Linked DNA regions of Saccharomyces cerevisiae S288C. Changing the gene in region 3 together with the main gene of any one other region gives a genetic interaction. Each region holds a gene or a part of one and is shown on either strand. Other genes may lie near its edges.

What was found.
Region 1: mutations in EMC6 (region 3) and BRL1 together harm fitness more than expected from each alone (negative genetic interaction), as found in Saccharomyces cerevisiae (2 studies listed by BioGRID).
Region 2: mutations in EMC6 (region 3) and INO2 together harm fitness more than expected from each alone (negative genetic interaction), as found in Saccharomyces cerevisiae (4 studies listed by BioGRID, with this or other methods).
Region 4: mutations in EMC6 (region 3) and GWT1 together harm fitness more than expected from each alone (negative genetic interaction), as found in Saccharomyces cerevisiae (2 studies listed by BioGRID).

The regions. Positions count from the first base shown.
Region 1 is NC_001140.6:178,185-182,910, forward strand, and holds BRL1 (Brl1p), read left to right. Parts: upstream 1-2,160; coding exon 2,161-3,576; downstream 3,577-4,726. Other genes in the region: GTPase-activating protein NEL1, read left to right, coding at 35-1,927; PUT2 (1-pyrroline-5-carboxylate dehydrogenase), read left to right, coding at 3,793-4,726. UniProt on the Saccharomyces cerevisiae protein: Involved in mRNA and protein export from nucleus.
Region 2 is NC_001136.10:697,609-701,738, forward strand, and holds INO2 (Ino2p), read right to left. Parts: upstream 1,861-4,130; coding exon 946-1,860; downstream 1-945. Other genes in the region: serine/threonine protein kinase KIN1, read left to right, coding at 1-286; YDR124W (uncharacterized protein), read left to right, coding at 2,707-3,681; ECM18 (alpha/beta hydrolase family protein), read right to left, coding at 3,789-4,130. UniProt on the Saccharomyces cerevisiae protein: Positive regulatory factor required for depression of the coregulated phospholipid biosynthetic enzymes. Also involved in the expression of ITR1.
Region 3 is NC_001144.5:118,997-122,639, reverse strand, and holds EMC6 (Emc6p), read right to left. Parts: upstream 1,319-3,643; coding exon 992-1,318; downstream 1-991. Other genes in the region: mRNA-binding protein PUF3, read left to right, coding at 1-565; ATP-binding cassette bilirubin transporter BPT1, read right to left, coding at 1,529-3,643. UniProt on the Saccharomyces cerevisiae protein: Part of the endoplasmic reticulum membrane protein complex (EMC) that enables the energy-independent insertion into endoplasmic reticulum membranes of newly synthesized membrane proteins.
Region 4 is NC_001142.9:260,580-264,994, forward strand, and holds GWT1 (glucosaminyl-phosphotidylinositol O-acyltransferase), read right to left. Parts: upstream 1,974-4,415; coding exon 501-1,973; downstream 1-500. Other genes in the region: DNA helicase SRS2, read left to right, coding at 1-368; protein kinase activating protein DPB11, read right to left, coding at 2,178-4,415. UniProt on the Saccharomyces cerevisiae protein: Probable acetyltransferase, which acetylates the inositol ring of phosphatidylinositol during biosynthesis of GPI-anchor.

The DNA.
Region 1 (4,726 bases), on a different chromosome or scaffold from region 3:
CAATCTAGCACCAAATTTGGCCAAGGAAGTGCCTATGTGTTCTCCAACTAATTTCTTATATGAGCCCTTTTCCAGCGATGCTGTGACGCAGAACTATGACCAAAATCTAAAATGCACCAAATGTGGCGCCTATTATTCGATGGCTTGTTCCCTACGAGAACAGAATGTTTGGACTTGTCTATTCTGCAACCAATCAAACTCAAATGCTGAATTGCCACTGGTACCTTCCAACACCTATACATTGACTTCTGCAAAGAAAGAAATACTTTCAAGACGGACCATTATGATTATAGACGCTATTTGCGATCCTCATGAGCTAAATTATTTAGTTTCCATTCTATGTAATAATTACATCACAAGACAACAAGAGCCACTATCAATAATTACTATTCAGCAATCAGGTCATGTGATTTTACACAATGCTGTGAATCACAGACGTGATGCTGTATTTTCAATAAATGAATTTATGACCAAATATAATCTTGATAAATTAAATGCCAGTTACTTCGAGAAAAAAATTTCAGAAATCAATCAAGAATCATACTGGTTTGATAAATCTACTCAGGGTTCTTTAAGAAAATTGCTACGGGAAATATGCAAGATTGCAAACAAAGTGAATATCAGTTCTAAAAGGGACAAGCGTTGCACCGGATTAGCGCTGTTCGTTTCATCCGTACTGGCGTCTCAGTGCAGTTTGTCAGCCTACTGTCATATAGTTTCATTCCTGAATGGTCCATGTACTAAGGGTGGCGGCAAAGTTATGTCAAGAGAACGTGGTGAAAGCATGAGACAAAACCACCATTTTGAATCCAAAAGTTCACAATTGCAACTATCAAAAAGTCCGACAAAATTTTACAAGAAAATGCTTGAAAAATTTGCAAACCAATCGTTAATCTATGAATTCTTTATAGCTTCATTGGATCAAATCGGTATACTCGAAATGAGTCCATTAATAACTTCGTCAATGGCAGTTTCTCAGTTTGATTCATTCAATGATGAGAGATTCGCAATGTCTTTTCAAAAGTACCTGAACTTGCGTGACCATAATGCCATTTACAATTGTCATTCAAAGATAATGACCGCAAAGAACGCTATTGTCGTTAAGGACTTCCCAAAATATAGCTTAAACCCTAAAAACCTTTCTCTACCATTAGAAATCTCACTAGGTCACAATTCAGCTGAAGCTCCTATACAGTTTCAAACCACTTTTGAAAATCAAACGGAAAAATACATAAGAATTGAAACCCTCTTATTGCCAAAAGCCAATAGATCATTTGGGGCACAAAATGAAATTGTGTTTTCAATGAAAAAGATAGCCTCACGAATTATCGATAGCTTTGCTTACTCATCCAAGCACACTAAAGAATTGATGAAGCAATTGTTTCTATTACCAAATCAAATCCGGGGAAAAGACGTAGATATGGTCAATCTGATACAGTGGTGTTATCATATATATAGGTCTCCAATTCTATCGGTTCGGAATACTTCACCTGATGAAAGGTACCTTTTTCTTCACCGAATAATAAACGCTTCTAAAGACACATGCCTTTCATTATGCAAACCCTTCATCTGGAGTTACAGTGATTTGAAACACGACTGGATCGTGTTGGATGTCCCATTAACAAGAGCCCAGATACTTCAAGATGATAAAACCACCATTTGTGTAGATGGTGGCTCGTACTTAGTTTTAAGAAGGGGAAAACTTTTGGAAAAAGAAGGTCGCGAGCTCTGTTGCAAGCTTTTAAATGACTTGCAAAGGTTTCCGCAGCCATTATATGTTGAAACTAAAACCGGTGGCAGTCAGGACCGTTTCTTGAAAAGCAAAATTATTCCCTTGGACATCACTGACAAGGAAACTCTTGGTACAGAGGATATGACATTCAATGAATATTTCAACTTGTTCACCGATCTAAGTGGAAGCAAATAACTCGCTAAATATTCTTGCTGCACTTTGCGACGCCTGTATTGGCGAAAACAAAAAGTAAAGAAAAAAAAACTTTAGATGAAATAGAGCAAAATTCCCTAAGACAATAGAAGATACAAAAGCAAGTTGGGCCCTTAATTTCATCAAAGGTATAGCATCTCATCAAATAGTCGCTTGTTTATCGCAATACTTGCTTATTGAGTAGTTGTATTATAACGTTATATAGGATCTTCCATATGGAAAGTTTTGAAAATTTGAGCATAAGAGACAGTTTCACTAGCGGAATGGAACACGTTGACGAGGAGTTAGGAGGCCTCTCCGACCTAAGTATATCTAAGCAGGGGCCAACTTTGTCACCACAGCTTATCAACCGATTTATGCCCCATTTTCCCTCGAGCCCATCACCTCTGCGAAATACATTGGATTTTAGTGCTGCTAAAGCTGATGAGGAAGAAGATGACCGAATGGAAATAGATGAGGTTGATGATACAAGTTTTGAAGAAGAATATAATAACGAGCCAATCGAAACTCATACTGAAGCGACTGAGAATGCCGTGGTGGAAGAAATCGAGGCTACCCCAGAAGAAAGACAAAAGCAAGAGAAGAATGAAAGCCAAGACCAAAGTGTAGAAGAGGTCGAGAACATTGTTTCACCGCATCGTTCAACTGTCATAAAGGCATTATTATCACCGACCGATTTAGGTGTGGCCGCAGCTACTAAAGTTGAAGGTGTTGTGCCATTACCACCATCGGCCAATCAAGATGACAATGAAAGTTCGAATAACAACGCAGAGGGTGAAGACATAATCAGAAATGAAGAAGTCGAAGATGAGATCAAATCATCACTTGGCAACCACAAGTCAAGCCAGTACGCAAATGCGTTCGATTCGGAAATAATCAAGAGGGAATTAAGATCAAGATCAAAATATCAACCAATTCAGGTTTCATTCAATACACACAACTACTTCTATTCAGATAAGGACGGCATTAAAACTTATTCTCTTACTAAACCAAATCACAATAAAATAGATGAATTTTACGACCAAAATGAAGCTTTCAAGTTGCCTAAACCATGGTCACCCAATTCACATCCGGCATCAAGAGCGTCATATGCCCTAATGTCATATTTACAGTTATTTCTCAATGCGATCACTACAGTAGTGATTTTTAGTTTTATACTCTCATTTATCATAGCGCTTCAAAAGGACTTGAAATCCACATGGGAACAAAGAAAACATGAACTGCAGTACGAATCCAGAATTTGTCAAGAGCAGTACCTCACAAATCGTTGTAACCAGACGCCTGGCTTGCCGGCTCTGGGCGAACAATGTGCTATATGGAAACAGTGTATGGACAGAAATAACGATATCTTTTTCCGTGCAAGATCAACGTTGAGCGCAAAATTGTTCGGAGACATTATCAACTCATTCATAGATCCATTAAACTGGAAAACACTATTTGTTATTTTTTGTGGTGTGATAACTTGGTGTTTCAGTTCGAATTTCTTACTGGGTTTTGTAAGAGCCAAGAGCTACTATGGCAATGGCATCAAAACATATCCCTTGCCATCTTCACCGAAATCGCCGACATCAGAAGAAACACACTCATCTATGACAGCATCTGGAGAGGACTCACACCTACTTAAGCAATAGATTGTGCTATCTGGGACAGTAACAATGCTTATCTACGCCATCGGACATCTCGGGAAGCCAACTCCGAAGCCGACAAAAATTGGATAGGCCTACTATATAAGGGTGACAGGACAGCTGACTTTACTCCAGAAGTATATCCATGGAAAATATGTAATAATACAAACAAGTTAATATAATCTATATTGTATAGAAGGCCAATTCAAATTCACAGGAATTATGCTATCAGCAAGGTGCCTCAAATCTATATACTTCAAGAGATCTTTCTCACAACTGGGACACATCAAGCCCCCCAAGCACATAAGAAATGAACCTGTTAAGCCATTTAGAAACATAGACTTAAAAGACTGGGACTTACTGAGGGCTTCCTTGATGAAATTCAAAAGTTCTTCTTTAGAAGTGCCACTGGTCATCAATGGGGAAAGGATATATGACAATAATGAAAGAGCGCTTTTCCCGCAGACTAACCCTGCGAACCATCAACAAGTACTGGCAAACGTCACACAAGCCACGGAAAAAGATGTCATGAATGCTGTAAAAGCCGCCAAGGATGCCAAAAAGGATTGGTACAATCTACCGTTTTATGACAGATCTGCAATTTTTTTGAAAGCCGCTGACTTAATTTCCACCAAGTATCGTTATGACATGTTAGCTGCTACAATGCTGGGCCAGGGAAAAAATGTGTATCAGGCAGAAATCGACTGTATCACGGAATTATCTGACTTTTTTAGATACTATGTCAAGTATGCATCAGACTTGTATGCTCAACAACCCGTAGAGTCAGCGGATGGTACTTGGAATAAAGCTGAATACAGACCTTTAGAGGGATTTGTGTATGCTGTTTCACCATTCAACTTTACTGCTATTGCTGCAAACTTGATTGGGGCTCCAGCTTTGATGGGTAATACAGTTGTCTGGAAACCTTCACAAACCGCTGCCCTTTCAAATTACTTATTGATGACTGTTTTGGAAGAAGCGGGATTGCCAAAGGGTGTCATAAATTTCATTCCAGGTGATCCAGTTCAAGTTACTGACCAGGTATTAGCTGATAAAGATTTTGGTGCCTTGCATTTTACCGGTTCTACAAATGTCTTTAAGAGTTTGTATGGCAAAATACAAAGTGGCGTTGTTGAAGGGAAGTACAGAGATTACC
Region 2 (4,130 bases), on a different chromosome or scaffold from region 3:
ACCTTCTTCTCCTTTGACAACTAATTCCATTCACCAGAGAAAAACATCTATTACCGAAACCTATGGAGATGATAAGCATTCGGGAACATCTTTGGAGAACATCCACCAACAAGGTGACGGTAGCGAAGGCATGACTACAACAGAAAAAGAGCCCATCAAATTCGAAATTCATATCGTCAAGGTTCGTATTGTTGGTTTAGCCGGTGTGCATTTTAAGAAAATTTCTGGGAACACTTGGTTGTATAAAGAGCTGGCTTCTAGTATATTAAAAGAACTAAAGTTGTAAGTAACACGTTCCCTGAGAAACCACAGCTTACATTTTTGATATTCGAAAACAAGAATATCCGTTCGATAGAAATTTATATATATATATAGATTCTTTTTATTCTCTTTTGGAAAGAAGAAATAGAATGGACCTAAGCAGACACTCAGCAGTTAATATTTTCGTCCCTTAATTGGTATTATTTATAAATAAATGGCACGTACTTTATGTGTAAAGCAGTTCATCATCGATTGATGGAGAGAATTTGTATACGTAGAGCGATCATTGCACCGTTTACCAGGACAGGATTCATATGGATGTAATAGGACTATTACTTCACTGAATCAATACAACTCGTAACGGTCATATAACTGCGAGTTTGTACGCAGTTATTCTGTTTGTGAAGACAGATTATACTTCGCCGTTGAAAGATTTCTTTACTTCACCATCATTGCCTCCGGATTCTCTTAACTTCTAAATAAAATGAAGATACTGGTAATTCTTGTCCGCAAAAATCTACGCTACACTCTGGAAAGAAACGAGATTTTCTACCGTCTGGTTTATAATGAATATATTTACATGACCAGCTTTGCAATCATATGATATTTTCGCCCATGTATACGAAATTAACTAAAAATACATCCAACGGGAGGCCATTTTCATCACTAATAGCTTGTATGAGCTCAGGAATCATCCAGTATGTGCTGTAGTGCTTCATTTGCGCTTCTAATGGACTTGATATCGTTCATTACACAAGTTAAAAGAATATGCTTGGGAATTCTTTTCCCGTTTTCCTTCGGTGGGGTCCTTACTGATTTAATGAGCCTTTCAAAGGCTTCTTTGGTGTTTATTCTTCGTATCTTCTCCATTTGAACGTGTTTCCATTTCCGTACCTTCACAGGGTCGTCCTCGATATTGGCTGGAATATCAGAGTCTGGGATTCGTATCTCAGGTACTGAAAACGGTGGCGGGTTGTAGTGGTCATTGCCGATAGGCTGATGAGGTCCTTCCCTCGTGGTGAACTCAGTTGGCACATCTGCTGTGTTTGTGGGTAACTCCCCTGTGTTACTGTGTGGATGTGTTTCAGGATATCTTTGATTTAATTCGGTATACCTATGCTGCTTTTTTGGTGATCTTATATGTAGATGTGATTCGGAGTTCATGGAAGCGTTGGAAGACATCATATCCTGTGATATTAGATTGTCTAAAAACTGTTCAATGGCATTCGATTCATTCGTGCTCAACAACCCCGAACTGGAAGGAGACAACTTGAGACCAAGCGCTTGATCAAAACCCATGCTTGGTTGATGAGGGTTGTGATTTAGATAGTGTGCATGAGTATGCAAAGGAGCATGATGAGTTTGGTTATCGGCAGGTATAGTTTCTACGTGAGAGGGTTGCACGGTTGCTACGTTAGGAATTATGCCGAGCTCGTGTGTTAACAGAGGAGGGGAAGTTGCACTAAACGTGTTTTCATGTATGTGCGCAGACATTTGGTCGTCGAAGTTACTGCTGAGCATTTGGTAAGCAGTTTCAAAGTCTATATCGTTATCCAGATCTAGGATACCCAGTAATTCGTTCCCAGTTGCTTGTTGCATTTTCTCCTTTGCTGTTCCATGTATTTATTTATTGCACGTCAACGAGATGGAACCGAACCAATTTCGAATTGCTTATGACGCCAAATACTGATTACAATAAGATATGATGAGATGAGCCTTTAATCACTGAAAAAAATTCACATGTGTGTTGTACTTGGACAGGTGTCAACGCCCTGCCGATGACGGAGGGAGATAGAAAACCGGCGAATTTTTTACCTCCTGCTGAAAAAAGGTTAGGTTGGTTCCATCTGCCGCACTATGGAGGGTGATTCAACGGAAAAGGCGCAGGAAGTGCAGTAGTGACCGGCAAGCAGCATGTTGAAAGACATTGTTGGGAAATCCTGTTTGAGTCCTGGTGTGTCTTCATTCTCCTACCATTTGTAGCTGGCGTAGATTTGGTTTGAGTGTGGTTGGTTAATTCATATTAAGCGTTGAGATTATAATAATAGAAATAATGGAAGAGGCACTCGATCCATATTATCAAGGATTCAAAGTAACTCAGATCTGCAGTAAAGGAGAGATGCGACTGAGAACAAATTCCTTTGCAATGGCATCGGCAATGGCACAATATGGAACTTTTTCTTGTACTGTTGAAAAACAGCACGCTGCAGTTGCATCAGGGTTGTTTTAAGTTGTTGTAGTAATCTCGCGACCTGAGACATCCTTGAAGCGGTGCCTGCGAAGTCTTAGTGAAGAGTTTAAGATTAGAAGTATATAGCATCGAAGGGATGGCCCAACTGAAGCAGGTTCCTCTGCTTGTTTCTCAGCTTATATAAAGGATGGATTGCGTATGTATACATGTGCATTTGTGCGTACGTCATTTTTCGATAGAGTCAGCTTAAGTACATGCGTATAGGTATGGAAGAGCTTAGAAGGGCGCTGGCGCTGCTAAATGGTCAAGGATATGAGTTTATGGTGTTCATAAAGGAAAAAGACCATTTAATAAGTGAGTCAATTCCAAAAAACTTGTTCTCAGAGAGTTTTATATCATCTTCAATTGAAAAAAACCCTCCACTCACGTTCGATCCATTGGTAAATAGGAAAAGAATAACTGTTTATGAAGAAAATATCCAACCAGCGATCATGCTACCCTTAGATCAACCCCTACTAATACAGAATTATCTGTATACGGCTTTTAAATTATTAAGACAGGTCCCATGCAAGGCGATTGCTAAGTTGTGGATAAAAATTATTGAGCCAAGGAAGAAAACCAGGTTTCCATACATTAAAGGCAATGCTGGAAGGCCGGAATGGTGGCCAAAAGATGTAGAACATAAAGAGCCGGACCACCTCCAGAAAGCGGATCGACTGAAATTGATGTGCACGATAATTATGAATGTTCTACCGCAATCTCCCTTCAGCCTTGAGATTTTGGACGAGCTTACAGGAGTGACCGCCGCAATGACCATTTTTAAGAAAGAAACTGTGAAGAAAGTAATCATGAAAAATGTTTTCGAAATTGCGAAATGCTTGTGCAACAAAGATTTCAAGCAGAAGACCATATCACTTGATGATTTAAATGACCTAGCCCAAAAACAGAAAAAATCATACCATAGTCGTCGATTTGATGTAAATAAAATGGTTAAGGTAGAAAAAGATTTGTTACAACAGTCAAGTGGAAGCGATTCTTCACCCTCGATGATCCTTCCTTCAAAAGAAAGTGACACAGAGTATTTCCCCAGGGAATATCCGAAAGACCCTGTATCGGAGGATTATTCGAATAGCATATCTCGATTAGAAAATTTAGTGGAATTTGATCCGTTATTCCTCACTAAATTGGATGAATTAACTAGTAGCGATGATTGTAAAGATTTTATTTGAGAAAAATTTCAAAGCAAAGAAAAGAGGTGTGAGGAGCGCAAAAGCAAAAAGGGGGATAGCATACATTAACACATTTTTTGGCTCTTTGCTACTTGATTTGGTTGCTATCAAGGCGATTTAGTTTCGTCTGATAAGAAGGACACTATAGATTGGTTGAATGATTCTGGGTTATCTAAAAAAAGATTGTGACCGGAAGAAGGTATTTCTAAATAACTTGCTCCTTCTAGACAGTTCTTTAAATTGTTCAACTCTTTGACCATGAACATACCGGCTTTTTTATTCATCCAATCATATTGCCCATATACTATCAATAATTTCTTAACATTTAAATATTGCAGAGAATCCATCAAGGGGTCCTTTGCTAGGATACATCTTGAAAATAACGCTTTGAAAATATCTGTCGTAACCTCCGGTATACCTCCCTTACCGTAAAACAGTTCAAATATGTA
Region 3 (3,643 bases):
CCACTCCTACGGCTGTAGGGTCATTCAAAGATTGTTAGAATTTGGTTCGAGCGAAGATCAGGAAAGCATTTTAAACGAATTGAAAGATTTCATACCATATCTAATTCAAGACCAATATGGTAACTATGTCATTCAATATGTTTTGCAACAAGATCAGTTCACCAATAAGGAAATGGTCGATATCAAACAGGAAATCATAGAAACTGTGGCCAATAATGTTGTCGAATACTCTAAACATAAATTTGCCTCCAACGTGGTCGAAAAATCTATTCTTTATGGCTCTAAAAATCAGAAGGATTTAATAATTTCTAAGATTTTACCAAGAGACAAAAATCATGCTTTGAATCTGGAAGACGATTCTCCAATGATTTTAATGATCAAGGATCAATTTGCCAACTATGTGATTCAAAAATTAGTTAATGTCTCTGAGGGTGAGGGTAAGAAATTGATCGTCATTGCCATTAGAGCATATTTGGATAAACTAAACAAATCTAACTCCCTAGGAAATAGACATTTAGCCAGTGTTGAGAAACTTGCAGCATTGGTTGAAAATGCGGAGGTGTGATTAGTGTTATCATCGTTCTCCTTTCACTTTTTACTATTTTTTTTTTTTTTTTTTTTTTTTTTTTTTCCTCCATTTGTCTTTCACTTACTCTATTTTATTTTGTTTTATTTTGATATCTACTCTTGTCCATAACATTTATGTTCCCCTATATTCATTATTTGCTTTTTTCCATTACCTACTTTTTGTACCTCATCTCTATTTTTCTGCAAAAATCTTTGCGCTCTTACGCTCTTCTTATTTCTGCAACAGATAGAGAATTTAACATTGTGTATTTGAAATCATTTGACTGAGAATACTGTTGTCATGTCTTTTTACATAGAAGGAACTAAAAAAATTTAAAAAAAAAAAACACAAATAACATTATATTTACTGTACATAATAAATCAAGCCTGTTTCTAACCGTTTATAGAAGTAGTTCTTATATGTTCATCCGATTAGGGCGTATCCAAATGTCCATGCCATGACAAAACCAGTTATCTCTCTAAAAAACGATTCGAAAAAAATGTCATGAAGTGGGCTTTGGTAGAACTTTCCTGGTTGAAGTTGACAGATCCAAACAATGTAAATGACATTAATCAAGTTGTACAGAATCAGGAACCAAATAAACCCATGGACTGACTCGATTTGCAAAAATCCTGCAACAAGCCCTAGAACAAGTGCTGAGCTATCTTGCACGAAAAGTAAACGCTTCTTATTATCAACCACATTCGCAGTTGCGTTTATCTGAGTAAATACCTCTTCATTTGAGCTCATTTCTATCTGTCTGCCGCTGTCTTTCTCGAACACTGCTTGAGCAATCCAACATAAGGTTAAAATTAAGTTGTATTTAGTTATATCTCTACTAGCTTCATTTGTGATTACCCGGGTTACTAGAAAGCATATAGAAAGAAAAAGAATTGGCGTGACCGTACATATTGCAGCGCATTAAATGTTCTATATCTTCATATATAATAATCAATGTCATTATTTCAAATACCCACCTTTCTCACAAAGACTGTAAAAAATAGACGTTTTATCGGATAACAATTTCGAGGGTGAATCGAATTCCCTCACACTACCCTGGTCAAGAACAATTATCTTATCACTGTCCAATACAGTGTCGATACGATGTGCAATTGTTAAGATGGTACGGTCCTTAAATTCTCTTCTTATAGTGTCTTGGATAATTTTATCGGTTTCCATATCCACAGAAGCCGTTGCTTCATCAAGGACCAATATTTTGGAACGGTTTAGCAGCGCTCTTGCCAAACATAGTAGTTGTCTTTGCCCCACTGACAAGTTACTACCGTTCTCATTAATCTTGACATCCAGAATATCATTAACATTGCCATCCTCTTCATTAGAATCATCACCTCTTGGTTTACTGTGCAGCATTTTTTCCAGATGAGGCTTTAAATGTGCCTGCTCAACAGCCCTTTTAAGTTCATCTTCTGAATAACGATTGAAAGGGTCCAAATTGGTCTTTACTGTACCTTCAAAAGCTTGTGCATCCTGAGGAATAATTGCCAAATGGCTTCTTAAATCGAACAGACCTATGTCGGATATATCAATGCCGTCAATAATAATTTTACCTTCGGTAGGTTCTAGTATTCTAAATAATGCCAGGCTCAGTGTAGACTTCCCTGCACCTGTTCTGCCAACAATCCCAACCTTTTCACATGGCTCAATCTTCACGTTAATATTATTCAGCACTGGATCCAAATTTTCTCTGTATTTTGTGGAATAGTTTTTGAATTCAATACCACCCTTTGATGGCCAATTTTCATCTGGCCTCTTTTCAGGGTTAATGGACTGTGCTTCAGGTGGTAATTCGCAGTACTCAACAATTCTCTCCACTGATACAATGTTGGTTTCAATCGTCACAGTTGTCCTTACAATCCAAGTCAATGAACCTGTAACCTCTAATGAATAGCTCATTAGTAGACCAACCATACCCGAACTTAGTTGCCTTTTAGTATTCATTGTTGCTAGTGCTAAGATTGCAGTAGCCAAAACAATTGTAGCACCAATAGTTTGCAATCTCACGGATAACCATCTATTCGTTGATCTAAAGTTGAAGACAAAATCAACGTTGTATTGGATTTTTTCATAATTTAGATAGATGAATCTCTCAAAATGATCGTATGCATCAATAATAGAATAACCGTTCAAGCTCTCACTCATTAAGGACATAATCGGAGAGTAAGATATACTGATCAATCTTTTTAGCTCCCTAGATAGCACAATGTAAAATGTTTGATAGTAAATATAGATAACCACCAAAAACATATTGAACACTAAAAACCATGGCATATTGTACCCGACTAATATAACAGTAACCAAATAGGTTAGTATTGATTTGAAAAAAAAGGAGAAAATGTACTGTAGATTACTGTCCACTGCATCCATATCAGATGAGAACCTGTTTATGATCCTTCCAACTGGTGTAGTCTCAAAGAAAGTCATAGGACTTCTAATTACAGATTTGGCCATGCTTTCATGCAGTTTCTTAGAACCCCTAATAGAACAATACAGTAGCATCATAATACTCCGTAAATTATTGAATGCGGCCGATGCTACTCCGATTAAGGAATACACACCAACAAACATCCAAACCCTTTCATTTGAACCATTTTTTTCATTAGATTCTGACCAGTACTTTAACCAAAAATTCTCTGCTAAGTCGAAAACCCTTGTTAATATCATAAACAAGAAAAATAAAACAACACCTAAAACTCCACAAGCCTTAATATACGCAAGATAAATCTTTGTTTTGACTCTTCCCACCTCTGTCTTCTCGGCCTTTTGCGCCGTTTTCTTCACGGAATCCAATTGTGCTCCCACAAAGGGTCTAGGTCTTAGCGTAGCTAGAGAAGCTCTTCTAGAATTGGCTTTGATTAGTTCTAATTCACTCTCAGTAACAACCTCATCCTCAGTTTCTGATTCAGTTACTTTAAGCTGCAGAGGTTCATCCACTTCACTTTCGGATCGGTGTTCAGTTTGGACATCGCTTTCATTTCCATTATCAATCGGAGAATCAAATTCCTCTAGTAATTTTTTCAGTTTTGAAGTATTGTTCTTACGGTTCATTACATCCTC
Region 4 (4,415 bases), on a different chromosome or scaffold from region 3:
GGAGAGAGCTTTTGGGCTCGAAAAAGACGAAAAAAATAAAACCAAAAACTCGAAATAGAAAGTCTAAGAGAGGTGACAAGGTTAAGGTGGAGGAAGTGATAGATTTGAAGAGTGAATTTGAGGAAGATGACAGCAGAAATACAACAGCTGCTGAGTTATTACATAATCCGGATGACACTACAGTTGACAATCGTCCAATAATCTCCAATGCTAAGTTTTTGGCTGACGCAGCAATGAAAAAGACACAGAAATTTTCCAAAAAGGTGAAGAATGAACCTGCATCAAGTCAAATGGATATATTTTCTCAGCTGTCACGTGCGAAAAAAAAGTCAAAATTAAACAACGGTGAAATCATAGTCATCGATTAGTAGCACTTTCATGCCTGACTACGTCAACTATTGGAGGCGGTTTATAATTTTTATTTAAAGCACATAGGAGTTAATTTTATTTTACTGGTAGGGTTTGTATACGAACTACATGGAAATGTGGATGGTGTGTTATTATAGCTTAATGAATATTCTTTTTCTATACAAGAAAACCGATATGACAGCTATGAATGAGCAGTATGCCAACAAAACCAGGAATGATTTTAAGGGTGAAGAATCTATCGTGACCATAGACATATTGACTAAACCAGTAGAGACATTTGCCAACAAAAATAAAAACAACCCATTGGAGTTGATTGATTCCAAGCATTCGGCAACTTTATAATATTCCGAAGAATTACCGAAAATTTTGTCAGTCAAGCAGTACCCAGTCAAAAATAGTAAATTATAAGTAATGACCCACAAAGTATATGGTAAGTTAGCAAACCTTCTTGAAACACTATAAGGATGGTATTGAAAAACCAACTGGCTGATAACAAGAAAAATTGTACTCCATATACAGAGGCCACTTAATGGGGTTACTGAAGTCCAATAGTCCCAAGTCGAAGACTTCTTTGATGCTGCAACTACGTCTTGCGTAGAAGGCTTATAAAGATTGTTTAAAGTTGGTTTATTTCCCAACAAGTAAAATCCCGTGTTTTGGCCCCAAAGAAAAATCGAGCAATAACCTAGAAATGAGAAGATGCCTTCTCTATTAGCACTGAAGAAACAATTTCTATCAGCCAAAATTAAAAAGTTTAAAGTGCGATCGTCCTTTAAAAGTAGCCATTCATAAATGCATGAAATGAATATTGCAATTGAGCAGCGTGGAACCATTCTTGTGACGGGATCAATAAAGGTCAATACAAGTGGCAACAATGATAGGGTGATAAAAAAATTCCAATGAACCCCATATTCTGTGACATGTTCTTGATATTCCAAATTTTTTACAAAAAACAACCTCAGCAATCCTAGGAACAATAGAGTTCCTCCTGATTTTAAGGCATTAAATGCATTTTTTAAGAAGCTGGGTTTACTCTTCAAGCTTAGGTTTTTCAACAGTGCCCTAGAAGAAACAATACCGTTACTGAAAACGAATGATCCTACACCAAGATCCATCAGGGATGTCCCCCAAGTTTCCACCTTGGCAAACCTCCTTGGGAAAATTGGAAAATCTACAGCCAAGATGGCAATAGCAGTCAGAATAAGCATCCCACCACGATACGCAGTAATATACGGCTTTTTTTCTAGTTGGAACCGCTGTGTAATCATTTTTTTTTTATTGTATATTGGATTAGAAGGTTTACTCGAGCTAGTAAATTTTCCATATATGAATGCGAGCAAACAAGGTAACAGTATTAGCGTGTTTAGAAGGTATGGTTCACTAGCATAAATAGTAATAGATAGAAGCAAAGCAACCCAGTTCAATGCAAAATCAATTATGTATTGCACGCTGGAAATGCCAGGAGGCATAAGGTTGGAATTTTTCAATAAGTTCCATGATATGTAAGTTACCAAAGCAATTGATGTCACTGCGTTAATTTCTGTTATAGAACCGCCATTGAGCCCTGTCACAAAGTCCTCTTTTCTCTGTTTTAAAGTCGACATATTCTTCTGATGTACTGTTGCCATTTATTTAGATATTTACGTGTCTTCTTATTGCGATCCTCTTTTTCTCATGCTGTTTTTTCACGCGAGCATGTCATGGAAAGTATTATCATACAAAACGGTAATACATATAGATGAGTAGATTTGAATAATGCTGTAGATGGCGTATGTAAATGAATATCTTATAAAATTACGGACTACATTTCAAGAATCTAATTCCTTTGTCTGATTTCTTGTCTGTCGTCTCATAGGTTTTTCTAAAGAGGCAGTACGTTTCTTATCTTGAATGGAGCCATAGGTAACTTGAGTATGTGAAACTTCCTCAGTTCTTGGGATCTCTTCTGGATTAGAAATTGCAGTCGGCTGCTCTGTAGGCACATTTTCTGACATTATTGTGCCCCAACTCGTGGTTCGTTTAATTTGTTTAGGAACGAAATTTTTTGGCAGTGACTCCAACTTGATCCTTTTCGTATCCGGCATTTGTCTCTCTGAAGAAACATCCATGATACTCGATGAGACACTACGCTTTTTTCTTCCAGAATCAGTTTCTCTAATTTTCTGCAATAATTCGTTTTTGGTATCTTTCATAGAGTGCTCCGATAATGAGGAATTGTTTCTTTTCAAAAGAATAGTTTTGTCGATTTTTGGATCATTGTTTTGGTACTTTTTTTCTGAACTAATGCTGGTATAGTATGGTTTTTTTATCTTACATTTAAAATCGTCCTTGTGTCCTCTTGGGCAGATAATACACCACTTGATATTGTTTAAAAAGATTTCATTATTTTCTCCAGATGCAGCGGACAATAATTTAAAAATAAATGCTGGAGTAACTACCGGTATGGAGTGGAATTTCTTGATATATTCAATTTTCCTTTTCATCGAATTTCTCAAGATTGAATTATTTTGAAAATCTTTTCTGTTATTATCACCAGGATCATCATTATTGTTATTAATGCAAAACTGAGTAAAAAGATCGCTAAATTCATTCGACCATAACGGATGGGTTTTCGGGATACTGGGTAAAGCTGCTAAGTTGATTAGCAGAATGTCAGTGGATTTATTGAGGTATTCTACATAATTGATGCCCATTGGTTTTAGAAGATTTAATACTTTAGTCAGATGTAACAGCTCTACGCCAGAGAATCCAGTGATAGTAACATTCAGAAAAGGGGAAGAAGAAAATTCATGATGCAATAACTTTGAAGAAGACGAAACTTGAAACTCTATTGTGCTGAGGAAGGGTTTTGACCATAAATCTATTGGGTGTAGTAATTTTTGATAATACAAGCAGCGTTCAATGAAAAATTCTGTAACTATACCATCATTATCATCTATAATCTCAGGTAAATCATTGAAGGAGTCAAGAGCTTTATTACTTGGAATGATGTAATAAGAATGATCGTAAATGCCGCTCAAGTAAGACGTCTCAATTTTACCCCCATTTTGAACAACAATTTTGGTTAGTATTGAACGGTGATTGCCAGGAAAAATATGATGAATGATAAACGCACAATTTTTGAAAATCAAAGTACTATTATCACTTAAATCTTCTTGTTTGTTATTTATCGATAATGGTGACTGCCCTAGTACTGAAAAATTTGTCTTACTATGCTGCTGTAGAGACATTGCCTTGTCCCATATTTTTTCACCCTTTGGTTTAAATTTATTCAAGAGGGATGATGTTTTCGGGAGCGAAGGAGTCAGGGTACTGGAGGATTGCTGCCGCTGCAGAGAGGATTGGGCATCGATATTGGTTGGAAAGGTGGTGTTTATTTTATCCCAGCAATCGCAAGAGTTTGATCCGATTGAATCATAGGGCAGGTCTTTAATATTTGGTAAAAGATAATAGGGATCGTACGGTAACAGTGCGCTTCTTTTTTGGCAATCGAGAATCCATTTGAAATGTACAATAGGTATATTTTGTTCAATAGCAGCGTTAACTCTTGCTCCTAGTAAAGTATCCGTAACAAAAATGGATATCTGCCCATTCTGACCTTGATCATCGTCATCATTGTGTGAAGAGGTATCTTTGATTACAAAGTTTTGATAGTTATAACTAGAACACCCTAACTTTTTAATACTCCTAACCAATGAATCGATGGAAGTTATGTTAGTGTCGGTTATTCTGCCAATGAAGATATTGAAGTTATGCAAATATTTAAACGAAAATCGCCGGTAAAGTATCTTCAGCATCTCATAGGTGGATCCTGTCATTGTTGCCGTATTAGAGTCCGGCAATATATTTTCTCCAGACAGCCAGAGCTGATAAATGTCATCAATGGCTTGAATGTCAATAAATATGATATCGAATCTATGCTTCACCGCAAATTTAAATTTGTTTGTATTGGTGGTGGACCCAACAACAAGGACATTAACTTGTCTGGTCAAATCTTTAGAAAATATACCTCCTAACTTAATAATTTTCTTTGATATTTTTTTAGC